Arabidopsis thaliana: one gene and its partners. The protein of the gene in region 2 binds, or shares a complex with, the protein of the main gene of each other region. Each region holds a gene or a part of one and is shown on either strand. Other genes may lie near its edges.

Region 1 (10,932 bases), about 14 Mb from region 2:
TTGTGAGACACATTTCCATTGACACGAGGCTGTTGTGTAACGCGTGGTGCAGGTTCCAAAAGTGGAGCAGCACGACCAAGACCTGCTGGGCGAGCAGGTGGTAATGCTGCAGTATCACTTCTAGACTCTGTTGGTGAAACAGAACTTAATACCTCAGATTCTCTTTCCATATGTTGGCTTTCCTTAATCTCTGGACCTATATTTACACTGCTATCTTGCTGCTTTACAATTTCCTTATTAGATTGAATATCATGTCCTCCATTACTGTTTTGACTTTCAGTCTCTCCCTTCTCCTCCGAACTAGATTTTTCCAATGGAGATAAGGTCCCAGCTGCTACTTCAATACTATCATTCAAGGATTTGTCACCTGAAACAATTTTAACACTATTGAACTCAGCACCAGTCTTACCATTTCTTTGTTCTGTTACCATGCCAGCTGATACATCAATTTCTTCCTCCCATTTTTCGTCGTCAATACCATTACTCCCTGTTTCCACGGAACAGGCACTTACTGAGATAACTTCCGCCACCAGTTCTTTATTCTCATCAGGAGAGACTACTCCATTTTCTGAAGAAGAATGTGTATTTCCGTTTTCCAAATTCACATCCTCAGTAGCTAAATTGGAAGTAGCTTTCTCACTGTTCTCAACCACATCCAAGCTTGATGCCATTTTACCATAAGAAATATCTGCATCTGCTACTTCCCCGTGATCATAATCATTCATTTTGAGAGTCACCAAATCAGAATCAGCCTCTTTCGTAGTTATACATTGCTCGTTAACCTCACCATGGCTCTCTCCAATCTCCGAATAATTAACCTTTAAATTTTCTACTCCTCTCTCATTTCTACTTGTTTCTTCCAAATCACACACTTCATCATTGGAAGCTAAAGGAAAATCCTCTTGCAACACATCGGTTTTGAGAGATTCAGGTTTTAGACCCTCCTGCGAACCAATTGCTTCCTCAAAGACCTCTTCTTCATTATCCTTCACTTCATCAGATCCCACCAACTCACTAATTCTACCATCCTCTGCAAGCTTCTTCTCATCCCCATATAACCTGGTTACAATCTCAGCCCCATCTCCCATTTCTAGGATCACCCAAAATCACGAAACACTGCACCAACCAAATTTTGTATCCTCGTTACTTTTAAATCCACAAGACACTAAATTAAATGGGAGTGAAACTAATATTTTCCAAATCGTAGGTATATTTTGCTCATAGGAATTCAGAAAATACAAAGAAGAATCTATTGATATTGAGGAGAAAAAGTGATGGCGAGAATCTAACCTGGTTAGAGAAGGCAAAAGTCTGGAAAGAAAAAAAAACAACTTCATGCGCTTTTTTTGTATTTGTATAAATCGCCTTTTACTCGCCTGCGACAGTGCGACTACGACGGGAAGGAGAAGGAGATAAGCGACTTTCATGGACGGTTTAAATCGGTTTGGGTTTTAACATCGGACGGTGGAAAATGGCTCTTATATTGCAATCGTGAAAAAGGCATGTCACGTGATCAATAGTAAAGTGTGGGCCAAGGCCTTTTTAGTTGGGCTGCATAATCTTGTTGGCCATTTTATCTTTACGACAAGAGAGAATTGCTTTATTTGTTCTTTTGGAGCTATTCAACTGTCTTTTCATTGGTTGTCACTATATAGATGGTATTTGAAGATCTTATTAATTGTTAGAAATTTGATTTTATATATGGCTCACCAAATTTTGAAACATTTTCAGATGATAAATGGTTTTATACTTTTTCAGTTGATTGATAAAAGAGTTTGATTCACATTGACAGTATCCAGCTTTCTGGGAGGATAGAGGAGAAGAGAAAAATAAGAAACACAAAAGGTATAACTTTATAATAAAGATTCAAAAATAAAAGGAAAGAAATGCCCAAATTCACAAACATGAAGGACATTTCTGTCATTCTTTGTCATATATAAGAAGAGATCACCCAACCAACCTTTCACACTTAAACAACACCACACTTTTGGTTTTCCTTCTTCTACCAACTACCGAGGAACTCTCTTACGGCTCAGTATTTCTTGTTCCTTGAGACGGTGTTGGAACCGAGCAAGCCTGGCTTGAAGACTGACTAGCCCTGCTGCTTTCCGGGACAACACAAAGCTCAGTTGCGTCACATAGTTTTCTATCATGCTTCCCGGTTGGTCCACCTCCGCTAGAAGTTTCATTTCCTGATAATGATATAACAGAAAAGAAAATTGAATGATGTGATAACATTCTACAATCGTTTTTTGTGCGCTGCAATGATGTGATTTACATACCTCGCGAACAATCTCCATTGTATCCTCAATTTCTTTTCTGTGCGCTGCAATCAGAGCTTCTTCTTCCTGAAAAAAGTCATGTGATGGTTACGATAAGACATAAACAGAACTACCGTTACTTGCAAATCAAATTCACAGCTTCATCTCATGTTTTAAAGGGATAGGTGAGTACTTTACCTCAAGCAGTGCATCGAGGTTTTCATCAAGCGAAGGGTCGGTTTCATATTGCCTTGAAGCGGTTTCATATTGCCTTGAAGCAGTTTCACTTGCGTTCTGTCTAAAATTTGTCAAGGTAGGGATATCCGACGAACTGACATCTCTTTTAGACCAATTTTGTGGTCTGTCTGGTTTTTCTTCCCGCAACCCTTTCCCACGAGGTGGTGACACTTTCTTTACTTTCTCTTCACGGTCTGAAGTTTCTTGGGGATATGAAGAAATGTTGTTTCTCTGACTAGTGGAGCCAGCAAAAGAACTGTTCGGCTCTGATCTTCCCTTGTCCATTGAGAATGATGGGATTCCACTTTCCTCTCGATAATTTGTAGGCTGTCTGAAGTCAATACCCGACGTACTGCTGTTGCTGTCCTTCTCGACCACCCTCCTCCTGGTTTCTGGTACATTCACTTCCTGTGGAGGCTCAAAGACATCTTCTACATCATTTGGGCCCAACAAAGGATCCTTATTAACCGGAGGCATTGAATTCGCAGTTTGATCTTTCTTGCTATTTCCACTTTTAGATAGACTTTTGACTCTGTTTATTCCATACATAACCAACAGAGGTTAATAGACGATGAAATTGAGAATTTGTTTCACAAGAGGCTATAGTTTGTACAAAACATACCGATCAGCATATCTTAGAGTATTGAGGGTATGTTCACACGATCCTGCATTTGGAGAGATGCAGGAAATCATCACCGTTCTTGAGTTTCCAACAAATGAGTCACGGAGCACTTCCGTTAGTTTGCTTCCACGAAATGGTATATGTAGCTGGTCATTGTCCAGTGCACGTATACATTCCTTAAGAGCCAAGAGACTCTTGTTGATTTCTGCGCCTTCAATCCTAAGAAAAATCCACAATGAAAACAATGAAGCATTTAGATCTGAAGTGTGGTGGTCCTAAAGTAAAAAGGTAGCAGCAAAGTGCCACTTTATCAATGCCCACAAGTCCAACAGAGGCATAAATTTTAATCTACACATTAGTGGTAGGTCAATTCTCAAACTACTCAATCACAGGGGCAAAGAGAATCTTTACCTTGTCTGGCGATCATTGTCTGTGGTGTCTGCACCTCTTTCACTGCCAGCAAGGTCAATGAAAGAAATCTTTCCCACAACTTTCCCAGGCAATTCATTACTATCATTATTCCTCCGTCTAGTGTCTTTTACCTCAACATGCTTTTTTACAACAAGCTGTAGGATGGCATGCGATCTAGAAGATTCCTCATTTGCTCCAGTTGAACCTGTGCTCCTTTCGGCATTTCCTTTCTCGATAAAATCCTTTACAATTTGTACATCTGAAACTTCATATTCTTGCAGGCCAACAATGCAAACTTGCTGTCTACCATCTTCTCGCATGCAAAGTTTCCTACTCGGCAATAACTGAATGATTTAGACAATGGTAAACATGCATTTGCGATAGTAGTAGACAACAATGGAAAGTATTGACACTGATAGGATGAATAAGTGCCAATGTTTACGATATACTGACATCGAAATAACAATTATAAGCTAGTATATGCCTGAACAAAGTATATGCCAAAAGAAAAGGAAAACATAAAACCCCTCAACAAAGACGACATTTATAAGAAATGAGAAAAAGAAAGAACACTAACTTTCTCTCACTGAGAAGATCGAACAGCTTTCCACCATATATCTCAAAATAGCTGAGCCACAATTTAAACCTCTGATTGCTGTATACTGGTTGACGCAACAACCTCATAAGATCTTCAACTGCTCGTATAGGTAATGGTTTCATTGTAAATGTCTTACCACTACCTGAATAAGCAAAACATCATTAGGGCCATGAAAGCATGAAGAAACTATTAATCTATTATCCTCTAAAAACTGGAATCTGTTAGCAAGAGTATAACTATCAGTGTATTTCCCAATGAACATTAATGTCATTGCATACCTGTTTGGCCATATGCAAAGCATGTAGCTTTAGTTCTCTGGAAAATAATGGGAATTATTGGCTCAATTGTGGCCCGATACACCTATTCAAGGAAACAAACAAACATGTTCAAAGCAGCATAAAGCTTCTGTATATATAAAAAGCTTAATGTATCCATACATCAATCCAATCTGGATTGGGGGAAACCACATGCTATGATCTAGTTAATAGGTCAATCAGGTATGTCGACCTTGACATAAATCATAAATCTACCAAAGCTCAAGGTTGCATCACGGACACCTAATAGGATTTTCTATGGTTTCCAATAAGCTCAATTCTTAACTTACCTCGTCATTTGAAACATCCTCATCTAGAACAGCATCAAAGCAGAACTCATGCTTTTCCACATAAGCAGTCAAATCAACCTGCACCAACAAGATTACGGTTCATTCAATATTCGAAAAGACAATATTAAATGAAAAGAATATATGACCTTTAATAGCAGGATGCCATCGTTCAGTTGTTCAACTGAATCATGTTTGCCATTGTTATCTATGATGAAGAATGCACACAAACCTTCACTCTGGGCTCATGGACAGTCAAAGAATTATCAGATACCGTCACGACATCCTCCTCCTTTTTAGCTGTTTCTTTCTTGTTTAGGGGTCTTTTCCTTACCTATAGACAAAAAAAAAAGTGGTTTCCCAATCATCCCTAGTCATAATGAACGTTGCTTATAAAACAATCAAGTAGTAAGGAAACATGTCAGTTCTCAAGTGAATGACCTACCACTACTTTAATCTTGGCTACACTGTTATTTTCTTTATCACTTTTAGGCAATAAACCCAAAGGTTCAGCTTCTGTCTGTTGCCGCTGTTGACGATTAGCTGCCAAATTATAGTCTTCTTCAAATTCTTTATTTACACTAGGCATGAAAGGTGACGGCTCAAAGGGTTCGGTAATCACATGCTGCAAAATGAAAGGAAAGTCACGTATCATAAAAGTTGGTAACTTTCACATGGATAATCGCTTTCTTTATGAACTAGCAAATGCAACAAGCAGTTATTTAGCTCAGATGCTTTTCTAATGACAACAAGACCAAAACTGTCACATCTCGCTAAATCCATTCGAGTGTCAAGATCAGAAGTTGCCTACAGAAGTCTCGCAGATAGATTACATGTGCACAAAGCCAATGGATTAGGTGGGACTCAATATGGCAATGTAAGATTGGCAAGAACAGTTTGAAAACTGGGATGTAACACAAGAACAGACAATCTGATGATGAAAATTTATGATCTTTCTGTTATCCATGGGCACTAATGAGTAACTATGAATAAGTCTTTGCACTAGTTCTTCTTCCAAGCATACCTCAGATAGAAGCTCTGTATCATCCATTGCATGAAGATCCAATAATCCTGCTCCAAAATCACCTCTGAACTCAGGTGAAAAAAATCCTTCCGAAGAGGGCATAGCTGCTGATGTGTGAGCAGTTGGTGTATATGATTCAGAAGTCGACTCCCCATTAAAATTGAGATTTCTCATTAGTTGGAACAGTCTTTGTTTCTCTTCAGCAGTCTGAGCTCCATAACCCTAGCAGATACCGCAAACACCACAAAGGATGCTTCAAATATCAGAACCCGTTCATGCGAATTATACAAGAGCCAAGGCAAAAGTTTCTATAGAAATTTACCAATCGAAGAAGAAATCACTAACAACCCTGCAGCAAACATCTAACTTAATCACATTACATAAATGGCCAAACAAATTCCAAGCTCTCCTTGAGATACGTTATGACTAATATCCATAACAGGGAGAAACAATCCTACATTCCTAATTTCCTACTGCAGCGTTTTTAGTAGTCTAACACCAAATGTGCGCAGGAATTAGCGACCGAAAACTCTAACAAAACTTGGCTATCTGCGTCTAATACAAAATTTGCATACTTTACCAAGCTAGGGCAAACTCCATCAAGAAAACTAAAGGGCATGCAAAATATTGGAAGAGTACAGAAACAAAGAATCAGGGAAAGCAATTACCTGCATGAGAAGGTTTGGGAGGTGACGCTGATCATTGCCTGTAGAAGCAACAGGAGACGCCAAATGCTGCAAACCAGCGGATTGAAGCCACCGTGCCATGACTGCATCTCCTGCGTCATTAGTGGGTAAAGCCCCATCGTAAAGCGCCGTCGCAGCCGCAGCATTGTTTTGCTGCATTTGGCCGCCCATGAGGCGCTGTGATCTTCTTTGAGGAGCCAACTTCGGAGATCTGTAAAAACAACTCTTCATCCATACAAAAACCAGAATCACCCATTTGTTACAAATCAAAAAATTCCTAATTTCAACAATAGAATGTTAGATTCAAATCGAAGAGAAACTCACAATGTGGAGAGAATTCGGATTCAACACAGAACATGAAAGCGGAAATGTACAGCTCCCGACTTTGCTTCACCTCCTTCAAAATCTGAAATTCAATCAATAAATTGCATCCAATAATCGGAGAAGAAGATCGATGTTATCCAAAGTAATGATTACCAGAAGGAAACGAAGACACGCAACGGTGTTAGATAAGAGATCTGAGATCTGAGATTTTCACAATATACAATCAGATCCGACGAGTGAAGAACCCTAATTTACGCACATCGAATAGCGTTAGAGATAGAGAGATAGAGAGATAGAGAGAGAGAGCTTCTGTTCAAAATTTTCGTCTTCTTCCGTAAGCGACGTTAGGCGCAGAGAGATGAGAAAGAGAGGGGCGTTGAAGAAGATTTGACAAAGTATAAGACACTTACACAATAAATTAAAAAGTTTGAGGTGTTTAAAAGTTTTTTAAAAAAGTGACAGTTAGATCACCCTTTAACTTCAGAAATATTCACCGATTTGTCCTACTTTTTAAGATTGTACAGTCTAGTCCAAAACATTTGAAACAATCTTCTTTGAACGGTCTTATATATTCTAAAAGATAGTGTTGAAATATTATTTTTTTGCTGAGATCGTGACACAAGGACATATACCAACATGGTGACATAAAAATAGAATTGATGTTCTCATCTTGAATCATACGGTATGAATCTCATACCTTTTTGAGCAGATTGCATAAACATTGATTGGTTTATTATATATGTAGTATAACTAATAATATAACCTTGGTGGGTTGATCAGTTATGTGCATTTTCAGATTTTAGCTACTTTATGGTATTTAAGGATGTTGTTTTGGACCATCTATGGTAATAGAGATGAAATTTGAAATTGTCCGAGGAAGATGACATGAGTTTTTCTCGACATGAAATCCACAACTTTTGGAATTTTAGTACATGACAATGATCTAATCTTATATATTCTTATGTTTGTTTAAATTTTTATACGGTTTCAAATTTTGAATTGTTTAGATGTGCGAATATAAGTGAGTGTATATCAAAAGTACCAATCTTGTGTATGTATGTGTACTGTTTAAACCCCAAAAAAAAGTGTTAATCCAATAAAATATACGAACGAGAATATGCAAAAGTAGCGAAGTGGGGCTAATACAGCTTGTGGGTTCCTTTCTTTTGAATCAAAAAGCTTTTGCTTTAGCCTAAAGCATTCCGATCTAAAGGATTCCTGATTTTAAGTAATCACTATATAAACCAGTATGAAAGGAGCTTTTCCTTTATTTATCCTTCCTAAAAACATTGGTCTCTCTAGTTTTGTGTAAGTTTAGATGATCTACCTCCTTTGTATGGCTACGTCAATATAGTCATATAGATAGAAGTTGATACTACTTGTTACATAAGAAATGTTTAAATAGTGTAGGCTAAAAGCCTAAAACGAAAGGAACAACAAAGTTTGAAGAAATAATGACGATAAATACATAAGATACAAGAGAGTTGGAGCAACGTCAAACCGACCAAGACCAAATCACGTTTCCTTTTACGTGAGACACAAATACGTACCAACGCATTTTGGTTGCCCTCTCATCCATACGGACACCACACATACATAAATAAATAGTTCGAATAATAAAACCAACAAACTAAAAGAATAGTAAAGCATAGGATAGGTTGTGTTGTTTGTCAAAGTAAAAGAATACACATAATACATTATTATTACGGCCACATTGTGATTTGTCTCACAACTAAAACCAAGATGACAGAACTCTAGTTAGTATCGATTCCGCACGTGAGATAGAAATCCTTGATAAGGAGCAGAACATGCCTATGATGATGTCTCAAGACATCATGTCTGTACGAAACTTTTTCTTTTTAAAGGGATAAAACACCATTAGACTAAAGTCAAAAGAATCATTCTACAGCATATTCCATGATTTAAAGTTACTAACAGTTAGAGTAACCCACTCGTTTATTCACGTCCATAAGATCTGAATCCAAAATTATTAGACATCTACTATAAACATGCCTCGAGATTCGGGAGTTTAATTTAGAAAAGCAAAGCTGAAGAGATATCACACCAAATAACACAAAAAGTAACGACCAAAATTCAACTAATTGTAAATGATAAACCGTTTTTTGCGGAATAAATAACTTGAGAATCTTCCAACACAGAAAACAAGAAGAGAGAAAAGTAAACTGGCAGGTAATTTTAATAGGGGACGACGACGAAACACAGGACAATATAAAGAAACATAAACTTAGAGAGTCGCTGCGACCGACCACAGTAACCCAACGAGAGCTTCTCTCTCAGCACTTGACCTCCTTCAAACCATGAGCGAAGTACAAAAATGTTGGGTTAGTTGAACCCTCCTTGTAGTAAGCAAAGACCAAAGTGCTGTCATCATGCATACCCTCCCCAACAAAGCTGTAAAATCAGACAACACAAGCATTGATGAGATTTCAGATGAAATATATGTCATGTATAACAAGCAAGATACGATAGATTGGGGTAACTTACAATTGGAAGTCACTGAGCCTGGGGAGCAAAAACTTGGTAGCTCCCTCAATACCCTTCTTGAAGACAGCTTGATCTTCTTCGCTGAGCTTGGGTGTCAAAAGCTTAATGTATTTCTTAATGTAAGCGATGAATCCCTTCTTGTCATAAGTTGGTTGCTCCTGAAGTCTGAAGGTGTCGACAATGTCAACAACCTTTTGAGTAGAGTCATCAACACCTTCATCCTCACCACCTTCTTCAGCAGATGGATTGGCACCAATGTTAACATCTACAGCTCCCACAGTAACCCACTGGATAACAAAATCAAAACCCAATTCAGAACAGGAAAACAAAAATTTAACAAAATCAAAACAAAACTTGAAGTAGAATCGATGACACTGACCTTTCCTTCTACTTCCCAGAGGATTCCATTCTCAATCTCCTTGTAAGGGAAAGAGTCAGACAGAAGCTCATCACCTGTAAATCAATAGCCCAGACTCTTTAGTCATTACTCATAAGATCCCAAACATTAATCGATACAAGCGAATAAACCCTAAAATCCAATCTACAACGAATCGGTAAGCTCAATTAAAGGACGTTTATATACTAATGAATCACAGATCTAACCAAATCACATAAACTAATCCCCTAAGATTTGAATTATCAATGCAAAGAGCAGCAAATCAACGAAAAACCTATGATGCGATGACAGATCTAACAATTCGATAACATGATTTATTCCGATCGGAAGAAAAAGATCGATAGCTACACAGTTCATACCGAGATTAAGGAATTATTGAGCTTACCGGTGAGAAGATCTTGGTACACCAACATGGTCGCTTATTGATTGTTTTCTCTCTCCGATGGATGCGAATAAACGAAAATCGAAGGTTGCGGGAGAGAGACGCAGCGACGAGGGGATTCTGAAGTGAGGTCCTAAGTTTGGTATTTATAGTCGAAACTATAGCGTAGGGTTTTCAGGTAAATTTACAATTCTCGGTAAATTACAATTTTGGGCTTTAACTGTTTCCAATTTTCTATTTTTTACCCTTTCCTTTTTTTTAAATAAAGGAAATAAATCTGAACCGACGCTTAATGAGCCGGGTTTGGTCCAACGGGTGGGGATTCGAGTGTTGGGCTACGTATAAATAGTGTTCGGGTCGGATAAAATCCTATTTCCCTCTCTTCTCTTCCGTCTTTCTCGTTCTGTTTCTGATTGTTCGTGTAAAACCCTAGAATGACGATGATAGCTTTGAACAGGGAGGTCGAAACTCAGTCACTGAAAAAACTCAGTCTAAAATCTGTTAGACGAGCTCGTGAAATTTTCTCCCCCGTCCATGGCCAATTTCCTCAGCCTGATCCTGAAAGGTTAATCAACAGTTTCGCTTGCAATGTCCACTTTTTTTTCTCGAAATTTCTCAGAATTTTTATGTGTATTGACGATTTCTTCTTCTTGTCTGTTTTTGTTCTTGTCTCGCAGCAAAAGAATTCGGCTCTGCCATAAGGTAAGGGGGTTTTCGAATATTTTTTAAATTTTATCTTTGATCGTGTTGAAAATTTTGTTCGCTTCTTCTTTGTTTTGAGTTTGATAATGGATAGCTTTATAGCAAGCTTCAGAGACGTTGAACCTGAGAAAATTTTATAAGGTGTAAATCGAACAGTCAATGGCTTATCACTTTTATAGTTT
Region 2 (7,596 bases):
AAGGTATCTTTTACCTTCATTTTCTACTTATTCTTCATGTTTTGAAGTTGACCAATGTTGTTTATAAAATATTTAAGTCAAGTTGCTAAAATTCATATTAATCTTTAAAATTATTTTAGTTTTTCAATGAAAAATACCAACAGTGAGTACTCAACCAAATGATAAACATATATAGCCAAATGTTTATTGGATCCATATGATATTTCTTGGTTGGTCCTGCTTAATATATTCACTTTTTATTTTAATGTGTGGCTACTTCTTTAATTTTCGTCTCTTTCATTTAGTTTATAGTTTAATATACAAACATTATTCCTATTTGTACACATTTGATTTATTATTAATCTTATGTACTAAACAGTAACTTATAACTCATTTTACTAATCATAGTAATTGAAAGAATGTTTATCTTTTACTTATCATGCTAAATTTACACTATATTTCGTTTCTTAAGTTTTATAGTGACCATAATAATTCGTCTTTTGATGCATTTGTTGGCAAATGAGGTAATATAGAAATAAATTACATGGATAAAGATAATATATAACCTACGAGATTTGATGAATGATGAAACTATACAAAATATATAATCTTCATTGATATCATTGGTGGGAAGTTCTGTTAATTTAAATTATTTTGTATGTTGTTACTTGTTACATTGCACTTTAAATTTTAAATTTATTTAGTTTTCAACCGAATTATGGTATATTTTCTTCAATATTTGATTATGTGCATCGAAATAACTTTAAACTTCTTTATTGAAAATCATGTGTAAATAGTAAATCATTAGTAAATAAATTCAATACTTTCTTACCATATTGTTCAAAGATGGAAGAAATAGTAAATAATTTGAATATTAATTGTATAAAGTATTTAGAGTTCTTTTGATATCAATTAGTATTAATATATCAATATTCATATATGTTAATCTTACTCATTAATCAAGACTTTATCAATCTCACAACTTCAAATCTATTAACTACTTTACAATTTACACACATACTATAATCAATATGATATATACTTATGAAATCTTTTACTCAGAGAAATATTGCATATCATTTTCATATATTTAAATAAAACACAAGGCTTATCTTGTATATCAATATTATAATTTTTCTTTTTTGATCAATTCGATAATTTTTAATTTATAAATACCCAAAATAATTTTAGATTATAATTCATAAACTAAATGTTTAGTTTAAAACTAAAATATCATAATCACAATATTTATGATATTTTTTATTGAATGTATTATAAAATAATTAATATTATATTAATATATATTAGTTATAGACATATATTTCACTACATTCATTTCACCCACGCATCGCGTGGGACATTTTCTAGTAGTTAATTAATTATTGTCACTGATATCTAAAAACTAGGTAGAATGGGTTAGTCTCTGCCAAAAAAAAAAAAGTCAAATGTTTTCATGAAGTGGATTTGGTTGTCATTACCAAAGACAATCTAGTGGGCCGTCTCAGCGTTTAGTGCGCAACAAAAAGGAAAATAGACAGAAGAAAATGTCAAAAGGAAGATCCAAGACTTGAGAGGTATTCATGTGGCTTCTTAATTAGAGTTTCACATTCTATTACAAACTTTTACTTTACACTCTTGACTCTTCTATACATGTAAAGTGTAAACCAATGTACAGGACCAAACTAAATTTGCTACTAGCAGCTCACACTCAGACAAGTAAGGTATAATTTTTCAAGTATTGAATTCAAACAACATTTCACAATACAAATTTCATCAACAAATGTGGCAACGTTTCAACAAAAAAATTAAACTTAGACAAATCGAAATTTTATAAATTTACATACAACAATAATGCCATTTTTATTAAATCAAGTAAAAAGAATCAGTATTATTATTACTTATGGTTTTTCTTGAGTAACACACCAAACTTCTTCAACATTTTGCTAGTCTCAATAGAATCTGTTCTTTCCTCATCATTGTTCAGTATAGAAGCTGCCGTCTCAGCAGCTTTCCTCCATTGCTCACATTGAATCTTCACTCTTTTAAGCTCAGCTTCCATGGCTTCCGTGTTTGCGGTTTCCACTTTCTTCTCCATTGCACTCCTTAGAATCTGCAACTCCATCTCTTTATCCATTAAACTCCCTCTCACTTCCATCAAATCCGATTCTAGCTTCTTCAAATCGCCCGTAGATTCGTCTTCTTTCACCTTCTCCATTAACTCTTTGCGCAAACCTTCGATTTCATCTTTGGTTCTGTTCAATTCTTCCGTTAACTCTGCTTCTCTCTGTGAATATCTTGATTTAACCGCCTCTGTTTGTTCGTATGCGCTTCTTATCTGCAATGTGCTCTGTATATACTCTTCTTGATACCTTGTCTCTGCTGCTTCAACTGCAGATTTCAATTGTGTTATCTCTTGCCTTGAAAGATTCATTGCTTCTTTCAGCTCTTCCACTTCCATTGATGATGAAGAGTCTCTACTGTTTACTCTTTCTTCCTCGAGCTGTCTGACGAGTTTCTCTAAAGACCTTACCTCATACTTAGACTGCTCTAACTCAGACTCGGACTCAAAGAGCTTCGATTTCAGTTTCTGAACTTCGTTAATGGCAGAAGACAGAGCGGTAGAATCCATTCCGTGTTGTCTCTGCATAGCTTCAAGTTCAGACTGCCATGTCTTGTCTCGCTCCTGCGAGAGTTTACGCAGCTCCTCAATTCTTGAATCTTCCGAGGCATTGATATCCATTAACTGATGCTTGGCATCTTCAGCTTCTTCTTGAGCTTCTCTTTTCAATGCTTCTGATCTGTTTAGCTCTTCTTTTGCCTTCTTAAGCTCTTCTTGAAGCTGAGATATCGTAGATTCCAGTTCCGGTATCCTTCCCGTCCGCTTCTTCTGAATCTTGAAAAGAACATAATCAAGAATCACCATATATAAAACTTGCATACACCAAACCAAACCAACAATTTTTAACTGCAAAAGTACCTCATTGAGAGGGATTCTTGCAGAGCGACGATCAGCTACTACTTTCGGGATTTGAGTTTTCGATATTGTCTTGGTTTTTGGATCGGATTCTGCTCCGCTTGGTTTGAGTCTCCTAACAACTTTGGGAGCTGGTAAAGGAGACTTCTTTTGTGGCAGCTCCAATGATCCTGGCCTATCACACACAATCACAATCACTTTGAAACAGATCAATAACTCCAACAACATTCACAACAAGAACACAAAGTTAGAGTTGTGATCATCACCTTGATTTTGGAGTCTGCATTTTTGGAGTTTAAAAACCTTTTCTTTTGGGGATATAATCAATTGCGTTATGATTGCTTCTTTGAAGAATCTGACAAATAGTACATGAAGACCAATGGAAAGTGTGAGAAAGAAGCAACAGAGGGAAAAAAAAAACTTATCATAAGCATATAGACAACCAAACTCAGGGAAGAAAGAAAGCTTAAGCAAGTGTACGAAAAAAACATAAGAATAATATTTACACATTTAGCTTCAAAGAGACTCCTATTACCACCAAACGAAAGCAAAGAGACAACAAATGAATATTGTAATGATTTGGAACAATTCCAAATATATAAAATATTTAGAAGTGTAATTAGAAAAGAAGTTGCCGTCAATGTGATTCATCAAATCACCAAAGATAAACCCTATTACAAGCAAAGAAAGCACCAATATCTTACACATAATCTTTCTGGTTGTTAAGTCACCCAGTTATTTTATTTTATTTTTTACTAAATCAAAGTTTTGGAATTATTGGGAAGAAGAGACAATTTCTTGTCATTTTGTAATGTGAGATTTGGTTTCATTGGGTGGATCTTCCCAAAAAAGAAACACAGATCCAAAAACAGAACACCCAGCAAAAAAATCGTTTTTACATAAAGCCTAAAACTAGAGAATCTTTTAACATTCTCTGCAAAAAGGTGTTTTATTACAGAAACACTTTTGCTTTTTGCAGGAAAACAAAGATTAAAGTTTTTTTTGACTGAATCTTTAAGCTACCAAACCAAAATAAAAGTTAGCTGATTTGAGTAGATGTAAGCAAATTTATACCTTAAACCAACCAAAGATTAACACTTTCTTCAGCAAATTAGTAGAAAAAACAAACTAGTAGTAAATATCTACCTAACAAGATTGATAAACTTCTGAGAAAAAAAAGGAAAAAATCGCACTAAAATTAGGAATAAATCAATGTGAAAGGAAGAGAAGTTTCTGAGTGTTTGAAAAAGTCGTGAAGAAGTATTCACCTATACCGTCGATTCAGCTTCTTTTTTTGTTGGATTAAAATGGAGAACTGCAGAATCAAGGCACCAGCACTTAGATGATTTGATCTTTCCTCTTTCTCGTCGGATTGTTATTCTTTTTTTCTCACTGGACTCGCGAGTCGTTTTTTCCCACTGAAGAAACATTTATTTTCAACTAAACTGCAATATTTATCAAAAGTAACCCCTGAAGTAATGATTGTGCTGTTTCCACCTCAATTTTCAGTACTTAGTTATTTTTATAATCCTTTTACGTTGGATTCCTTTTGGTTATTCCGAAAAATTAAAATTAAAATTTTGGATAATCAAAAAAACTTGTGGGGTTGGTAATGAAATAGATCAATAAATATCAGGGGCTATTTTGAAATTAATTGATAGAATGGACCGAAAGTAGAAGAACGTGGAGGGGGCGTTTTTTTAACTACGCGCCTTGTAGACGCGCCCGAGTCACGTGCTATTGTTTGGCCTCATATTGCTACTTATGAACAACGAACGGTCACGCAACCATAAGTCACTCACACACAAAGGACACTAACCTAGCATATCTATATACTTTATAAATGGAAAATTTTCATAAAATTGTCACAATTTTTCACAAAAACACATTAACCTTCCGTGTTCAATCTACATACATTTGAAAGTGCTATATATTGAAGCATGTAACGTTTCACTTTCACACCACCTCATAGAAAACCGATGCATGATAAATACGACATACACATCTCCTAAAAGAAACAATGCAAAATCAATCATCACTATCTTCATTTATCATACACGCTTGCTAATTTACTTAACATATTATTTCCACACAACTTTAACTATATATTTGGGCGGAAAACAAAAATTGGGAGAAAATATCGTTGAAATTTATGCTAACGATCGATTAGCTTGATTACATTAATGGTTTGTAAAAACATTATATTCACTAGTACTAGATTATTAGAGTATTAACTAGTGACTTCTGAACTACTAATCAAATTTTTCTTTTGACGAATAAAAAGAAAGTATTTCAACAATAAATTCACTACACTGTCTGGCTAGTAATTAAATAATTAAACACCACCATGCGATGATGATTATGCAAAAATGTTAGAAATTATTATAAACCATTGATCATAAAACATTTTGAAATTAGCTAGTGTTGTTTCTTTTTTTAATTTTCAGTGACCGAGAGTGAGTGATCGACTGATGATGGGTTGGTTATGTACAAAAAGTCAAAAACTAATTTCATCCGCCTCCCAATTTCCGGTTTTATCCGGTTCTGGCGGACAACGATTTCATTTTTCGATCAAATTTTCGGTTCGATCTAATTCGCGTCGGTTGAACCATACTTGAAACCGTAACTCGTATCCATATGTATCGTTCAAAACTCGACGTAAATTTCACCACACCACTAAAAAGTCTAAAACCATAACGCGGTTCTTTCTTCGTCCTTGTCCCTCAATTTGAATCATTGAAATTGGAGCCAGATTCCACCATTCTCATTTACTCAGACATTGTCGGAAAAATAATCAAAATCTTACGTCAAAGGTTTCTGTTTTTCTTTGTTTTACATTGTGCACACCACCTGCTCGATAAAATGTCTGTGAAACTAACCACTTTGTTGCTAAAGCATTTATGCTGTGAAATTAACTGGCTTGATCCTGAGTTTTAATATAATTTGAATGATGTATATATATACAAGGTATTTGATTACTTTTTTTTGTCTCCCCTTGAAACAGGCCCGTCCTGATATCCAACTTGTTCATCTACATATGAGTTTGCACAAGAATATTCAGTTGTATCTGTTTTGAAGAAGTTTGATATAATGGATTATATTGCCTTCATTCTCGACGAAGATAAAGAATTCTTTGTTTGGTTAGTTGGATGCTTCGTTTAGTGACATGTCTTTCTCGCTGAACCTTCTTTTGCTAGGAAGAACTCGTTTGGATTAAAAAAGGTTAACTGAAATGGCGACAATGTTACGGTTGGGAGCTAGAGTTTCCGTCAGCAACAGTCAGATACTGGCAACATCAAGTGTTGTATCAACCATCAAGACCGAAGAATTAATGAATGATCACATTAATTCCCTATGTAAAAGTAATTTCTACCGGGAAGCATTGGAAGCGTTTGATTTTGCGCAGAAGAACTCAAGCTTCAAGATAAGGTTAAGAACCTACATCTCTTTAATTTGTGCTTGCTCTTCATCGAGATCTCTAGCACAAGGCAGAAAGATACATGATCACATTTTGAATTCCAACTGCAAGTATGATACTATTCTTAATAATCACATTCTAAGTATGTATGGAAAATGTGGCTCGCTGAGGGATGCCAGAGAGGTTTTTGATTTTATGCCTGAAAGGAATTTGGTCTCTTACACATCTGTCATTACTGGCTATTCACAGAACGGTCAGGGAGCCGAGGCTATCAGATTATACTTGAAAATGCTTCAGGAAGATTTAGTTCCTGACCAGTTTGCATTTGGAAGCATTATCAAAGCATGTGCCAGTAGTAGTGATGTTGGGTTAGGGAAGCAACTGCATGCTCAAGTCATTAAGTTGGAATCCAGTTCTCATCTTATTGCTCAAAATGCTCTGATTGCTATGTATGTTCGCTTCAATCAAATGTCAGATGCTAGCAGAGTGTTTTATGGTATCCCAATGAAGGATCTAATTTCGTGGAGTTCAATCATTGCAGGGTTCTCGCAACTTGGGTTTGAGTTTGAAGCCCTGAGCCACCTAAAAGAAATGTTGTCTTTTGGTGTTTTCCATCCAAATGAATATATATTTGGTAGTTCTTTAAAAGCTTGTAGCAGTCTCCTTAGACCAGATTATGGAAGCCAAATACATGGGTTATGCATTAAGTCGGAGTTAGCTGGAAACGCAATTGCAGGCTGTTCGCTCTGTGACATGTATGCTAGATGCGGTTTCCTGAATTCTGCAAGGAGAGTGTTTGATCAGATAGAAAGACCCGATACAGCATCATGGAATGTGATCATTGCTGGACTTGCAAATAATGGTTACGCTGATGAGGCTGTATCAGTTTTCTCTCAGATGAGGAGTTCTGGTTTTATTCCTGATGCCATCTCCTTGCGTTCTTTGCTTTGTGCTCAGACAAAACCAATGGCTTTGTCTCAAGGAATGCAAATTCACTCTTACATTATCAAGTGGGGTTTCCTGGCAGATCTTACGGTTTGCAACTCTCTGCTTACCATGTACACCTTCTGCTCAGACTTGTATTGTTGTTTTAATTTATTTGAAGATTTCAGAAACAACGCAGATTCTGTTTCTTGGAATACTATTCTGACGGCTTGTTTGCAACACGAACAGCCAGTAGAGATGTTGAGATTGTTTAAGCTGATGCTTGTGTCTGAATGTGAGC
Region 3 (7,270 bases), on a different chromosome or scaffold from region 2:
AATTGTTTAACACTTTTTATGATTCTCAATCGTGTTGATCGATAATTGAGTTTCTAAGGTTTTAATATTTACAGCCATGATTCGTAAAAGTGTCAAGTGTGCATATAATAACATAGAAAAAATAACAATTTCTTAATTTATATTACAAGTGTCAAGTGTGCATATAATAAATAGGACCAATCATAATCCTTTACAGCTAAAACTTGAATCAAGTTATATTATCATCACGAGTCTTTTGACCCAAGAAAAAACTTCTCTGAGTTTCGGCCCATGGAACTTTCGCAGTCGGACCCAACCCGAGATCCTGATACCCGGTACGATCAACGTTGCTGTTGTTTCCCCAGCTTCCGCCGATCAAGAAGCTCCACCGCCGTTGGTTACTCCTCCTGGGGACGAATTCGAACCGTCGATGACAGTAATCACAGCGGCGACCACGGCGACGAGCCACGTTGGTGGATCCGAGCATCCTTGAAGATCCGAGAGTGGTCAGAAATCGTTGCTGGTCCACGGTGGAAGACTTTCATTCGTCGATTCAATCGCGATCCACGACGCGGCCGCGATTGGGACGCAAGCGAGAAGTTTCAATACGATCCTTTGAGTTACTCTTTGAACTTCGATGACGACGACGAGGAGGATGAATACGTCGGACTAGGTGGATTACGAAGCTTCTCGACCCGATTCGCTTCTGTCCCGGTTTACTCAGGTAAAGCTCCGGCGATTTCGCCGACGTCGTTGTCTGCGTTGACGCCGCGTAATGAGATCATTGAAAGTTAGTGGGCGCGTGTGAGAAACGCGTTTGCGTTTCTGGCGGCGGGGAAAAGGCTGTCAAAATGGTTGACTGGTTTGGTTTACATCGTTTTTGGAGTCTGTCGCGTTTTCTTATTTAATCATTCTGTTTATATAATCAACTTTGAATTAATTTTATTATTTTCCCAGTTTAATTAATTTATTTATCAACCAAATTTTATGTTTCTTGAAAGAGAAGCAATATTTTGTTTCTTTTTTGAGGGGATATTGAACTTGTTGTGGCTAATATAATATAATTTTATGTAAATTAGCTGTTTAGCATATGTGGAAGTAATGATTTAGTTAATCATGGTTGCTTGACATGATTTCTTTATTTTTATAATCTATACTCATTTTTAAAATTCCACTCAAAAACTTTTCTGTTTTCCAAAGATATAGTTACCGTTAAAGCCGAGTAAAGAGAAGAAACTATCAATCGTTTGGGGTAGTATGTAATGAACCAACAACACTTTTCCCAATTCAAACTTCAAACCTTTCTATTGGAAGCCATAAACGAATGACGATCATTGATCAAAACATTCAAATACATTTTTTCGTTTCTCTCAATTTATTAAGGAACTACATAACGATTTACATGTTCTAGAGAGAAAACTGTACCGAAGAATCGATTCACCTTCAGATTCATAAGAATGGTTCAAAATTCATAAGACCAAAAGAAACAGCAAATTAAAGAAAACAATAAAAGAAGGGACCGATAGGAACAAAGAGGGAGAAAACACGTGACCTGGCAAGGGACTTCCATTACGTGGGTCGGCTCGTTTCGGATGTGGCCCATATATTGAGTTGTCGGGCCCGTTGCATTTGTTTGTTGAGTTCATATGATATATTCGAAAAAACTTTTACTTTTTCAATATTAACCCAACTTCAAATCCAATAACCATATTTCTTACTGCCAAAACTCGGATTTGTGATCTTCAAGTCTTTTTCACTTTATGGATAATTTCCACTGTTAATCACGTTTTGCTTTTACGCGCATCAACTGTTGTGGAAATATATATTTATCGTTTGTTCTTGTTTCTTTTCAATGACGCTATCCTTACACCAGCACGACATATGCTCCTGTTACATGTCTTCCTTAGAGACCAAAAGTTATGGATTCACTTGTACACACATACACATATATTGATTTAGTTTAATGTGATTACTAGTCTCCTTTTGCGATTTTCGTTCTTACTAGTCTCTATATTTATCTGGTTTAGGCCATACTTTTGTCATTGTATTGTATTATTAATCAGCTACTTTAATTTGTACTTGTATTTTGGAGCTTTTGGTGGAAATAACTTGCAAAATACTAAAATATTGGACCAGAGAGCGATAAGTTCCCGTGGTCGTCCTTTTGAAGACCTCTCTAGTTAACAATACTTTTGCATTTTCATATTTATGGTGGTTGCGTCGCCGTCGATATAGTCGTAGGTATTACTCCAATAATTAACTTACCTTATAAAATAAAATCATTTATCTTCTGCTTTTGGTAGATGTTCACACAGTTTGGCTCCAACATCCACCTATAAATGATTATTTAAACACATGACAAAAACACTTTTACTTTCTAAACCATGAGTCTGCAATTATATCCATAAACAAACAAAAAGGAACTATTTGGTAAGAGTATTCAATTTTTAATAACTGTATTAAAAGTTGCTTTGTGAATATTGAGAATTTTTATTGCTGGTTGTTGCCAACGAAACTCTTGTTGGCAATTTTAAATATCTTGAGTAAATTAAATTAGATGATAAGTTTTTTTAAAAGTAGGTCCACATAAAAAAATCCATATATCCTAATATAATAAATGAATATCCTAAACTAAAATTACAATTTTAGAATTATCAGTTTTACACTTGTGAATTGTGATATAAGTAATGTTGAAAGGTTGGTCTTAGTGATTTTGCTATAAATTTTTGTTGCTATGATATTCTATTATTTTATATATTTTGTAACCCTAGCTTGTAAGTTATGCTATATACATTATATGATATGTAAGTCTCGAGAGAAAAACAAAAATAGCAAAACATGTATTCGACAGTACATGTTAATGTATACAAATATGGTATATCCATCTTCACTTGTCACTGTGTGGCTCAACGTGACACTATTATTAACTTGACGAATATCTACCTTCTCTTATAATTCGATTCGTAACGCCATACTTGTATGTAATACACATTATTTCATTTTCTTACAATCCAATACAAGTGTAATAAACACTTAAAAAAAAAAAAACAAGATTGAACCACCAAGATTTGGTTAACAAATTCCAATGCAAATTTGCTCGTTGGAGTAATAAATGAACTACAAGAATTTGGAAAAGGAAAGCTTGGACGATGGATCATGTGAGTCATCACCGCTCTTTCTCTATCTTCAAGTTCAAACCAAAAACAAGCCACCAAATACCAATAAACAATTTCGTTTATCTAATTGGAAATATTGAAAAAACAAACAGAAAAAAGTAAAAAAGGAACAGAAAAAAAAGCCATAAATTTATGCAACAAACCCTACCTTCTTCTATGCTCTAAAGAGGGTTTATTTATCTTTTACTCCTCTTTTTAAGTAATCTCACTTCATTTATCTCTCTCTCTCTCTCTATTTCTTTTGCTTCCTTTTGGTATTTGCTTTGTATGTTTGTTTTGAGATCAAAATGGCTTCAAGTGCTTCAAAGTTCATCAAGTGTGTGACTGTTGGTGATGGTGCTGTTGGTAAAACCTGTATGCTCATCTGCTACACCAGCAATAAATTCCCCACTGTAAGTTCTCTTTAAAAAGACCTCTCTTTCTCTCTTGAATTTTGATCAGGAATCTCATCTGGATTTATCAGATTTAGCTCAAATTTTACAAAATTTTAATCAATTTCAGTATCTGGGTCTACTAAATTTCAGCTTCTTATTGCCATAAAGGTTCTTAGAATCTATCTGGGTATGTCAAAGTTAGCTCCTTTTTCCTAGGAACTGTGCATGATATAAGATCCATTTTTGGAGATTTTGATTTTTTTTACTTTTCATAAGTATGTGTGGCGCATCTGGGTTTTTGCAGCTTTTGTGTATAGTCCAGCTTTATGTTATCTTTTTTCATTTAACATCCTCTGGAGTCTGGATTCGTCAGACTTTTTCTTCATTGCTATTATTATTATTATTATATGTATATATGCTTGATTTGATGATTGAAAGTTTGAAACTGTGTATTGATTTGATGAATTGTTTGTAACAGGACTACATACCAACAGTTTTTGACAACTTTAGTGCAAATGTTGTTGTTGAAGGCACCACTGTCAATTTGGGGCTTTGGGACACTGCTGGTATGAACACTCTTTCTGAGTCTTGAATCCTATAGTGGTTTATAACATTCTTATTGGTCTAGTTCTTTCATTTGGTTGATAAATGAGATCCATTGAATAGCTTTGTCTCATATGAGGTTACATATGTATATCCTTTGTTTGCAGGGCAAGAAGACTATAACAGATTAAGGCCTTTAAGTTACAGGGGAGCAGATGTTTTCGTCTTGTCTTTCTCATTAGTCAGCCGAGCTAGCTACGAGAATGTTTTTAAAAAGGTCTGATTGAATAAATGATCCTTTTCTCTAATTGTTGAAAACGATAAGACTCTTATAGTGTCAGAATGAGTCATTTCTAATGTTATATGACTGTTCTTATTGAGTCAGTGGATCCCTGAACTCCAACACTTTGCTCCAGGAGTTCCCCTTGTCCTTGTTGGTACCAAATTAGGTAAGAATAACCGATGAGCATTTACCAACAGATTCCTCTTAACCGTTTAGTTACAATTCATAGCTAATGATTCTTACAACACTGGTGTAGATCTTCGTGAAGATAAGCATTATTTGGCTGATCATCCTGGACTATCCCCTGTAACTACTGCACAGGTTTAGTCTTAAAGAGCCTTTTTACTTTAGATTTCATATAATTCCACTATAAGGCTTGATGGTATTAACTAAATGAACATTTCTATCTGATAGGGAGAGGAGTTGCGTAAGCTAATTGGTGCGACGTATTACATTGAGTGTAGTTCAAAAACTCAACAGGTATATGAGGCAGCTTCTTTATGTTACTCTTTTCTTCGGATTAACAAAGCGATGAAGTTTATATATTGCAGAATGTGAAAGCAGTTTTTGATTCTGCGATAAAGGAAGTGATCAAACCTCTGGTTAAACAAAAGGAGAAGACTAAGAAGAAGAAGAAGCAAAAGTCGAATCACGGCTGTTTATCGTGAGTATATATACAAATCTTTACAAACTCTGCATCTACAATCTTATGAAGGGTACTGATTTCACCTTTGTGTTTATTTTGTATGTGCAGAAATGTTCTGTGTGGGAGGATAGTGACTCGGCATTGATGACGATGACCCAACTCAGTCTGATGATTTTAAACTCCACTTTTGAGATTGTGTGATAAACGAGAGACTTTATATTATATAGATTGAATCATGTAAGAGATTATTAGCCTCTAATCAATCAATAGTTACCTTGAAGAGAGAAAGAGGGGGAGGTAGAGAGCTTATTATTAATTCAATTGTGTTTATTTGTTTCAAACCTGTTATTGCAATATATTAGCCATTTTGATACAACAGAGAAGCTCTCTCTTCCTTCGCTTAACCCTGTGAAGACAAGCAGTTATTGTCCTACATTAGCAATCAAGTAATTTTATTTTGTTTGTTAATGTTGATCTCTTGTCGTTACATTGTCCAGTGTCAGTCAAATCACTGTCCTCAAAGTACAACTGACCAAACTTTGTCTCTCTTGACATAGACATTAAAACTTTCTACATAAGAGTCTCATATTTCAGTAGTCGCAGGCTAATTCCAGTCGGTTCCAATGACACATTGTCTTCAAGATTTTGAGACAGCAGTTCCAAAGGTTTTTTTATCTTCCACCTGACCAAAAAAAGGAGATTAAGCCATAAAAAGATGGAAGCGACGAACTCAGTCGAAGACTTTCCGATGAGACTCGAGTACACGAGAAACGACCACTGGACTCACCAGACCAGTCCCAAAGGCAAATAAATAACGGAGTAAAAAAAAAAAAAAAAACGCCGAGTTTCATCTAAACATAATAGAACAAATGTCAATGGGTCCGAGAGAGCCTGTAAGAGCATAAATGGGCTTTAATCGGGCCAAATTAAATGTAACTCTTTCTGTTGTTGTTTTTCCGGTGTACCTCTCTCTGTTTTTTTTTTAGCTCTTTTTGGAAAAAGCAACTTTTTCTTGATTTCTTTTTGACGTGAAAGCAGGCTTTTCTGTTAGGCAGATAAAAGCATATTTTTATTACTTAAGACCATTTCCTTCGTAAAAGAAAGCAAAAGAAATATATAAACCGGACAAGGTTAAAAGATATGCGACACTTACACATCAAGTCATAAATTAGAAACAACAAGAACATGATTACTTATTTATTTGAGTTGGTGAGATCGGAGTTACAACACACAAGTTTCTATTGGGTATGGGGAAGAGAGAATGACAGGAAGAGCAGGGAGAGGGCTCGTTAATCTAAACCAACCATGACCCAAGTAGCCAACCTTTTTTTTTCCTCTTCAAAATTTCACATTCTTTATTCGAGATTATACTACTTATAAAGTATAATAACTAGCTCATTCAAACAAAACAAAAAGTGCTGTAAGGATAACACTATCAACGCGTGTTAAGAAAAGTAACACTTTTGAACTTCTTTTTACCATTGACAAATTTTAATAGTTACAACCATGTCATTGCTTTATTTAACAATTTTAAAAAGGAAATCTAAAATGTACATAAACCTTTAGCTAATTTACAAATATATCATATTCTTAATGCATCTACAACAACCATATTATGAACTCTAAATACTAGGATTTGTAACCGGATTCGGTTTATTTGGACTACAAAGAGTAAAAATGGACTTTGTCCATCTCATCTAGCCAATGTTTTATAAGATTCTATATTGGGTGCATCATGCATGTGTCTCTCTTGCTCACACCCTACATCTACCCATCGTTTCAGCCACAATTATGTATATATTTTTTTGTCTTCAACATTTTAGCTCATATGCACCAAATTTTCATGAAAATGTTTGTTTATCAATCATATTCATCATGTGTTGTTAGCCATTAATTTCGATGAGATTGCAAATCTTGAAAAAAAAAATGGAATTATGTGGGGGAAAAAGTAAAGAATGGCACATGAAGAGAGTTTTGCGTAATTCCCAAAAGTAAAGCCAGAAAGATTTTTCTCCCACCCCATGTGCTTACTCTCCCCAGTCCCCACTTTTTCTTAATTAAATTCATATTTCTTCCATTTTTATTTTTCGGCTTTTAATTTCTTAGCATACTTTTAAAAAAAAAATATTGTCACACTTTTTAGGCCGATTTTGACTGAGTTACACAGGTCAATAATGCTCCCAATTCGGCGGACTATAGTTATTTTAGTGGACATTTGTGTTAACTAATTTTGTGGCAAAAAGAAACTCGGAACAAATTAAACCATAAC

Evidence for each region. Proteins that work in one complex are often made in the same cells at the same time.
Region 1: RIP3 (region 2) and KINESIN-13A share a complex: the UniProt entries of both Arabidopsis thaliana proteins name them as parts of the active ARAC10-IRC5-KIN13A complex.
Region 3: RIP3 (region 2) and RAC10 share a complex: the UniProt entries of both Arabidopsis thaliana proteins name them as parts of the active ARAC10-IRC5-KIN13A complex.

Annotation. Positions count from the first base shown.
Region 1 is NC_003074.8:5,660,651-5,671,582, forward strand, and holds KINESIN-13A (P-loop containing nucleoside triphosphate hydrolases superfamily protein), read right to left. Parts: upstream 7,302-10,932; 5' UTR 6,918-7,301; intron 6,847-6,917; 5' UTR 6,765-6,846; intron 6,666-6,764; 5' UTR 6,612-6,665; coding exon 6,423-6,611; intron 5,977-6,422; coding exon 5,755-5,976; intron 5,356-5,754; coding exon 5,176-5,355; intron 5,065-5,175; coding exon 4,963-5,064; intron 4,812-4,962; coding exon 4,734-4,811; intron 4,490-4,733; coding exon 4,408-4,489; intron 4,272-4,407; coding exon 4,109-4,271; intron 3,862-4,108; coding exon 3,532-3,861; intron 3,340-3,531; coding exon 3,121-3,339; intron 3,031-3,120; coding exon 2,460-3,030; intron 2,349-2,459; coding exon 2,283-2,348; intron 2,193-2,282; coding exon 2,010-2,192; 3' UTR 1,725-2,009; downstream 1-1,724. Other genes in the region: TOC120 (translocon outer complex protein 120), read right to left, coding at 1-1,088; TCTP (translationally controlled tumor protein), read right to left, coding at 9,059-9,176, 9,270-9,556, 9,649-9,722, 10,052-10,079; AT3G16650 (Transducin/WD40 repeat-like superfamily protein), read left to right, coding at 10,483-10,613, 10,726-10,750. UniProt on the Arabidopsis thaliana protein: Internal motor kinesin involved in trichome morphogenesis. Participates in regulating the formation of Golgi-associated vesicles.
Region 2 is NC_003074.8:19,778,317-19,785,912, forward strand, and holds RIP3 (ROP interactive partner 4), read right to left. Parts: upstream 4,386-7,596; 5' UTR 4,222-4,385; intron 3,915-4,221; exon of another isoform or gene 3,309-3,914; 5' UTR 3,240-3,308; coding exon 3,220-3,239; exon of another isoform or gene 3,182-3,219; coding exon of another isoform or gene 3,129-3,181; coding exon 1,874-3,128; 3' UTR 1,766-1,873; downstream 1-1,765. Other genes in the region: AT3G53360 (Tetratricopeptide repeat (TPR)-like superfamily protein), read left to right, coding at 6,186-7,596. UniProt on the Arabidopsis thaliana protein: ROP effector binding specifically activated ROPs and linking them to the microtubule cytoskeleton. Involved in ROP-regulated polar growth.
Region 3 is NC_003076.8:25,233,794-25,241,063, forward strand, and holds RAC10 (RAC-like 10), read left to right. Parts: upstream 1-3,169; 5' UTR 3,170-3,442; coding exon 3,443-3,547; intron 3,548-4,007; coding exon 4,008-4,095; intron 4,096-4,239; coding exon 4,240-4,349; intron 4,350-4,457; coding exon 4,458-4,521; intron 4,522-4,611; coding exon 4,612-4,676; intron 4,677-4,769; coding exon 4,770-4,835; coding exon of another isoform or gene 4,836-4,906; coding exon 4,907-5,019; intron 5,020-5,109; coding exon 5,110-5,146; 3' UTR 5,147-5,469; downstream 5,470-7,270. Other genes in the region: AT5G62865 (uncharacterized protein), read left to right, coding at 271-774. UniProt on the Arabidopsis thaliana protein: Involved in local disassembly of cortical microtubules when associated with ICR5 and KIN13A.